Macaca mulatta: one gene and its partner. The protein of the gene in region 1 purifies or fractionates together with the protein of each later gene. This does not show direct contact. Links are inferred from orthologs where the notes say so. Each region holds a gene or a part of one and is shown on either strand. Other genes may lie near its edges. The genes, in order: TDRD3 and FMR1.

Region 1 (3,828 bases):
CTAATGAATATAGAATACTCAAGTAATAGTTTAAAAAAAAAAAGCTACTGGGGGGTATCATTTTGTTAGCTTCAATACTTTACATTTTTGGAGAGGTGCTGTATGAATTACATTTCTCTTCTAGTATGGAGAAGTATCAAAAAATTTCCATTTTTTACCATGGAAAAGTTTCATTAGGTAGTTTTCTCCTCACTGTCTATATTATTTTCAAAGGCCATACTCTAACATACCATAAAATTTCTTTTTTGTGCTTTTGCAGTGTTACTTGTGAGGTCAGAGAATACTCAAGGCACAACCCCACATATCATACAGATTCTTCCTTGCCTCTTGTAAAAAATCAGCAAGAGACTGTTGTATTAGAATGACATTTTTACATAAGTATGAGATGTAATTTTTAGTTAAGACTGCAAATAGTTAAAAGTTTATGCATTGCCTTATGTGTGGGCTACCAACCAGCTTTTCTCTTTATTCCTTCCAGGTTGATGAGAAAGCTCTGAAGCACATAACAGAAATGGGCTTCAGTAAGGAAGCATCCAGGCAAGCTCTTATGGATAATGGCAACAACTTAGAAGCAGCATTGAACGTGCTTCTTACAAGCAATAAACAGAAACCTGTTATGGGTCCTCCTCTGAGAGGTATAATTTATTAAACAGTGTGCCAGATAGTATTGTTTGCTTTTTAGATGAATATTTGTTATTGACAGAGGCTGTTAGCTGTGAGGGCTGTAATTTTATTTAACGTTATGGTAAGTGGAAGGAACACCAGTTTGGGAACCACAGAGACATTTGTAGTCCCAGTCTCGTTGTCTTCATCTTTGTACAAAATGGGTCTAACAACAACAACAAAACAAAAACAAAGTGGGTCTAACAATGACTTATTTAACAAGGTTGTTATGAATAACAGAGAAAATATGTGACTGGTTCTATTATTTCTAGAACTCTGCCACCTGAGAATGACTAAGCTTTTAAAAATTAACAAAAATATTACATTTACTTGGTGATATTATTATTATTATTATTTTTTAGATGGAATCTCACTCTGTCACCCAGGCTGGAGTGTAGTGGCGCGATCTTGGCTCACTGCAAGCTCTACCTCCTGGGTTCATGCCATTCTGCCTCAGCCTCCCGAGTAGCTGGGACTACAGGCGCCTGCCACCACACCTGGCTAATTTTTTTGTATTTTTAGTAGAGATGGGGTTTCACCATGTTCGCCAGGATGGTCTCCATCTCCTGACCTCGTGATCGGCCCATCTCAGCCTCCCAAAGTGCTGGGATTACAGGCATGAGCCACCGCGCCCGGCCTTGGTATTATTCTTTAATCATTGCATGGTCAAGTTTATTATGTGGTTTTTCAAGTCCCAGTCCTATATTATTTTTAAAATGTCTGTGGTTGAAGAATAAATTATAATTTTTACTTAGAAGATAGTTTATATAAACAAATTCAGACTTCTGAATAGATGATTTATTTAGAGGATTAAATGTGCTACTTAATATAATTACTTAAAAAACTTTAAAAAATTACTGAAAAGATGTAGACTATACAAAAAATATGGAAAGAAATTAAAATCCCTATTTAAAATTTTTGGTTATATGTTAGTATATATTCTTTTTGTTTTTGCATATATAGTACATATTTCTTGCTTTTACATCTAAAGGTAGAGGAAAAGGCAGGGGACGAATAAGATCTGAAGATGAAGAGGACCTGGGAAATGCAAGGCCATCAGCACCAAGCACATTATTTGATTTCTTGGAATCTAAAATGGGAACTTTGAATGTGGAAGGTAGGCTAATTTAAAGTCGATTATTTTTCTTTTTTTCTTTCTGTGTGTGTGTGTGTGTGGTTTTTTTTTTTTTTAGTGTATTCTTTATAAGAGACCAAACTTTATTTGGAACTGTATAATAAAGCAACTATAATATGAACATATATCCTGATTGTTTATTTATAAATTTACTTAATTACAAATTCCTGCTTGACAAAAGCACAGAAGAAAATGTTATATTCTGAAAACATAATGGCAGCTTATTTTGCCCCCTAACTGGGATTAGTAATCTCACCAAACTATTTTTCCCTAATTTGCTCGTATCTAGATGACAGATATAACTATGTAAACAGATTGTTGTTTTGGAAAATTTATTATATAATCTTATATAACATTTTGATTGTGAAATTGGTATATCTCTTCTTTCACCCCATATTACATAGTTTGAAAACATTCACACAGTGAGTGAAAATGCTTTCACAATGTGATTTTTTTTTATATACTTTAGTGATTGACATATTGAAAAGAGAACTAAGTATGGTAATATGCAGCCTTTTTCTAAGCACATAATATATTAAATATTTTCTAAAATGATAAGTTTTTAAAATACGATCCAAAAAGTTAAGGAAATATGCTTTTAAATTCAATTTATCATTCAGATATATTTTGAATATATCTAGCCAAATAAGCTAGATATGAATTATCTAGCCAAATAAGCTCATAGATAAAATGCTTTTGTAACCAATGTGAAATGTTCAGATTTCATAAAAATTGAAGCATGTTTGCTAGATTATATAGAAAAGGCAGTGTAGCATTTGAGAAAACAAAGTTTGACGTGGGCAAGATTTGTAAGCATGATGTATTAGTTTTCTGTTGCTGTGTAACAAATTACCACAAAGTTAGTGGCTTAAAACAATGCAACTTTATTACCTTATAGTTTCTTTGTGTCAGGAGTCTAGGCACAGCTTCACTGGGGCCTCTGTTTAAAGTCTCAGATGCTGATGTTAAGATTTTGGTTGGAGTGGTGATCTTATCAGAGACTTGAGGTCCTCTTACAGGCTCACCAGTTCTTGCAGAATTTCATTTCCTTGTGGATGCAAGACTGAGGTCCTGTTTTTGCTTGGTGTTGCCTGGAGACTGCTTTGTCTCCTAAAAGCTGCCTTCAGATTGTTGCCACATGGGCCACCCCATAGGCAATTTACATATTGTTTGCTTCTGCAAAGCCAGCAACAGAGTCTCTGCTGCTGCTTCAGATCTTTCTTTTTCCTGACTCTGACTTAATGAGTATTTTTGTCCCAACCTCTCTTCATACTGTCCCACTGAGAACTCTTGATTTCCTTTCATCCTCCTATCCCCTTACATTTGCTTTTGACTCCTGTATTAGTTTGTTTTCAAGCTGCTGATAAAGACACAACCGAGACTGGGTAATTTATACAGGAAAAAGGGTGTATTGGATTTACAATTCTACGTGGCTGGGGAAGCCTCACAATCATTGTGGAAGGCAAGGAGGAGCAAGTCACATCTTACATAGATGGCAGCAGGCAAAGAGAGAGCTTGTTCAGAGAAACTCTATAAAGCCATCAGATCTCATGAGACTTATTCACTATCACGAAAACAGCACAGGAAAGACCTACCTCCATGATTTAATTGCCTCCCACTGGGTCCCTCCCACAACTTGTTGGAATTCAAGATGAGATTTGGGTGGGGATACAACCAAAACATATCATTCCACTCCTGGCCCCTCCCAAATATCATGTCCTCACATTTCAAAACCAATCATGCCTTCACAACAGTCACCCAAAATCTTAACTCATTTCAGCATTAACTTAAAAGTCCAGTCTCATCTGAGACAAGGCAAATCTCTTCTGCCTAAGAGCCTGAAAAATCAAAAGCAAGTTAGTTACTTCCTAGATACAATGGGGGTACAGGCATTGGGTAAATACAGCCATTCCAAATGGGAGAAATTGGCTAAAACAAAGGGGCTACAGGCCCCATGCAAGTCTGAAATCCAGCTGTTAGTCAAATCTTAAAAGCTCCAAAATGATCTCCTTTGACTCCATGTCTCACAT
Region 2 (3,828 bases), on another chromosome or scaffold:
GAATTCTGAAAATACCATGGACAAAGAAGCAGATTTAAATCAGGTACAGATAAGAATGGAAAGTATTGAATAAGTGAATATATTTCCCATTATCTCTCCTTTTTTCTTAATTCTTTTTATAGAACTTTGCAGAAAGAATGATACATACCACAGTACCAGCAAGTTTAAAGCGTACCCTTTTGTGCAAAAATGAGAGGCTATCTTTGAACTGCCTTAAAAATTCAAAATTACCCAATCAGTTTGCAAGCATTAATCAACTCTGGTACCTGACCAAAGGAGTTTAAACAATGATGTCCTAATGAAACAGAAAACCAGATTAACCATCTTGTTGAAAAGAGTCTCTACTTTGGTTTTGAAATCTTACAATTCAATACGTACACATACACATAAAAATGTCTATCTATATGAATGTCATAGTTTACAGTAGGGCTGTGCTTACTGCTTTAAGGTATGTGTTTTTAAAACCAAACTTTATTTATTTATTTCTTAGGCAAAGTAATAGGAAAAAACGGAAAGCTGATTCAGGAGATTGTGGATAAGTCAGGAGTTGTGAGGGTGAGGATTGAGGCTGAAAATGAGAAAAATGTTCCACAAGAAGAGGTATGTTCCAGTACAAATACTTTGTGGCTTGTCTAATAGTAAAAGTTTTTTTTATGTGATATGTTGAAGACCTCTAATATGTGCATAAAGTAAATGCAAATATTCTGATTATCAAGCATGCCTGCTGTAATTAATGTCATAGTTGTAGATAATGGCCCCTCTCTGTACTCTAATGCTGTGAGTTTGGATTAGTCACTTTATTGAATTCCTTTTTCCTAATCTTTAAAATGGGTAGTTATAAATTTTTAAATATGAGACATACATCACTGGGTTGAGTGTTAATAACAATTTAGTAAAATAATATATATATATAAATGCTTTTTAAAGCACTTTGTAAATGTTAATGTTGCTGACAAAGGCAAAATTGGAACGTAGGTTTTCTGGCTTTTATCTTTTCACTTTTTTAGTTTGGGGATTGTGTAGTATATGTGTTTATTCTGTGTGCTTTAAATTTATTTCTGTGCTTAATATCTCTTCCCCATCCTCCTTACCTTTAAATTCTATAACCCTTTTATCTTCATAAATATATGCTTTTTGTAGCAGCTTTTAAAGTATTTGCATGGGGTAGAGAGGTGAGGATGCACCTTTCTGTGCAATAGTACTCTTAAGATACTGTCTCCTCAAAGAGCCATAATTTTCACATATTGTCTAGCTTTCTTTTTGAAAGATTCTTTTAGCTAAAGTCAAATCTTTTTTTCTGTATATAATTTGTATTCTGTAATTTTATAAACCAAAACTGTTTATAATTTACATCTTTAAAAAATATGATTGATAACATTAATAGAGCTAAATAAAGTTTTAAATTGGCCCTTTTTTTCTTTTTTGTGTTTTCTGTTTTTTACCAAGGAAATTATGCCACCAAATTCCCTTCCTTCCAATAATTCAAGGGTTGGACCTAATGCCCCAGAAGAAAAAAAACATTTAGATATAAAGGAAAACAGCACCCATTTTTCTCAACCTAACAGTACAAAAGTCCAGAGGGTAAGAATTACTTGTCACTTTGAATTACAATAAAAGAAATTTGTCTCAGATGTCACAATTGGTATTTTGGGTTTTTTCTCTGGTTAGACTTGTAGGCTACTGATGTTCTATTTTTTTTTTTTTCAAATGTGATTGCCAGTTTATGAGATACTACATATTAATGTGATACATACTTTTCAATTTATTCACAGTGACAAATCTTATGCTGTAAACACAGAATAATGGGGTTGCATTTAGTGGTCACATTTTTCTTTTGACAGTGGGCTTTTTTCCATGCCTTCTTTCTTTAAATTTTCCAGGTATTGTAGCTCAAAATACACCTTCTGTTAGATGCATTAGTTACTACTTAAAACCATATTTTAGAAACTAATTTTCTGAACTAATCTATTTAGAAATCGGTTTAAAAGTCCTGCAGTGAAAGTCCTGCGTTCAGGCTTCTGTGTATCATTTGTTATAGTTAATGACATCCCTTGCATTCCTTATACTGCTTTAGGTGTTAGTGGCTTCATCAGTTGTAGCAGGGGAATCCCAGAAACCTGAACTCAAGGCTTGGCAGGTAGGAGAACATTCCTTGAGAAGTACACTTTCAGTTTATATTTTAATGTTTATTCCCCTTGTTAAGAAAGATTACAAAAGATCATCAGGATTAGGGACTGGAGGGAGGAGTGTTTGTGGGTATGTGGATCCATTGCCCCGGAGTTAAAGCTTAAACACCTTCATGCCGCTTGTAAGGCTTTTCCCAGTTACTTGTCCAGTATCATGTCTAAATTATCTTCTCCCTTGCACTCTAGAGACGCTTAAGCCATACTGAAGTACTTTGAGTTCTCTGAACATTCTCATGCTTATGTTGCTTCTAGACGTATGTAGAGGTTTACTCTGCCTGGAACGCTTTTTCTCCTCCACTTGTCACTTCATTTTGACTTTATTCCTTACAAAGCTTTCCTTGTGTACTTGCCAAAGATCCCCACCGCCATGGCTGGTTCAAGAGCCTTCCCCTTCTGTTTTGCAATGTGCTCAGCCCTAGCATAGCACTTAAACATAGATGTTTATTTGTTGATCTCCTCAACCACATTGTAAGTTCCTTGAGGGCAGGGAGAGCTCGTGAGAACTGTTTATGGAAAAAATGTTGTGAACTCATGGATTAAAAGCAAAGGTGCCATTTTACAAAGAGAACTATAACGGCAAGTAGATTGGATATGTCTCATTACCGGGCAGCCCATTATCCCAGAACAAGGAGGAACTTTTTTCTGGTGTCCATATTGAAGGCCATCAGTCAATTCTTGCCTTTCTTCATTTTAATTTACTATTCAGGTCTACTCGTGAAGTGCTTAAATTAGAGTGGCCCTTGGGGTACTCCAACAGTTTAAACGTTGCAAGAAAAGATATTCGTAAATAATTTGCTCCAAAGTCAATCTAACTAAATCTATTACATAGGATTTTAAAGCTTAGTTTGGTGATGTTTGACCCAGAGGGAAGGGTGTAGCATTCATTCCATCACATGGTATTTTGGGAAATAATACAGTTAAAGGCTTTGTAACAAATAAAGCTTGTTGGAGAAACACCCAACATGCAGAAATGAATTGCCAGTTAATAATTTGCACAATTGTGTCTAGGTTTCGCTATAACTTGTGACAAGAAGTCGTTTTTTTTCCCTCATTTTATATATATATATATATATATATATGGGCTAGGAGTACAGACATTTAGCATATGCCTTTTAAAAATCTGTTCTTATATTAAGTAGTGTCCATAGAGAGAAGTTCAAACTTCCCTTGTGATTCAGCCTTTTAAAATTTTCTGAGTACATTATTGAACTGTGTATGGGCTTAATAAAACTTAACGCTTGTCAGTGTACCTATTTTTTTTGTCTCACAGATTATTCAGTGCATTTTTATCCTGATGTTTTTGTTTGTATTTTGTGTGTACTGTTTTACTTGGTTAGCAGAAATGATTTACTTTTTACTTTTGTACCCTTGGTATTTCATTTTGATTTTTTTAAAGAATTTGATCGGCCAGGTGCAGTGGCTCATGCCTGTAATCCCAACACTTTGGGAGGCCAAGGCAGGCAGATCGCCTGAGCCCAGGAGTTCGAGACCAACTTGGGCAATGTGGCGATACCCCTTCTCTACAAAAAATACAAAAATTAGCTGGGTATGGTGGCATGCACGTGTAGTCCCAGCTATTCAGGAGGCTGAGGTGGGAGGAACACCTAGGGCCCAAGGAGGTCAAGGCTACAGCAAGCCATTA

What was found.
Region 2: the proteins of TDRD3 (region 1) and FMR1 purify together in Homo sapiens (affinity purification with mass spectrometry; 4 studies listed by BioGRID and IntAct, with this or other methods). This does not show direct contact. The link is inferred for Macaca mulatta from reciprocal best matches to the Homo sapiens genes TDRD3 and FMR1.

The regions. Positions count from the first base shown.
Region 1 is NC_133422.1:39,997,190-40,001,017, forward strand, and holds part of TDRD3 (tudor domain-containing protein 3), read left to right. Parts: intron 1-478; coding exon 479-635; intron 636-1,654; coding exon 1,655-1,780; intron 1,781-3,828. UniProt on the Homo sapiens protein: Scaffolding protein that specifically recognizes and binds dimethylarginine-containing proteins. Plays a role in the regulation of translation of target mRNAs by binding Arg/Gly-rich motifs (GAR) in dimethylarginine-containing proteins.
Region 2 is NC_133426.1:154,197,415-154,201,242, forward strand, and holds part of FMR1 (fragile X messenger ribonucleoprotein 1), read left to right. Parts: intron 1-490; coding exon 491-600; intron 601-1,446; coding exon 1,447-1,581; intron 1,582-2,074; coding exon 2,075-2,137; intron 2,138-3,828.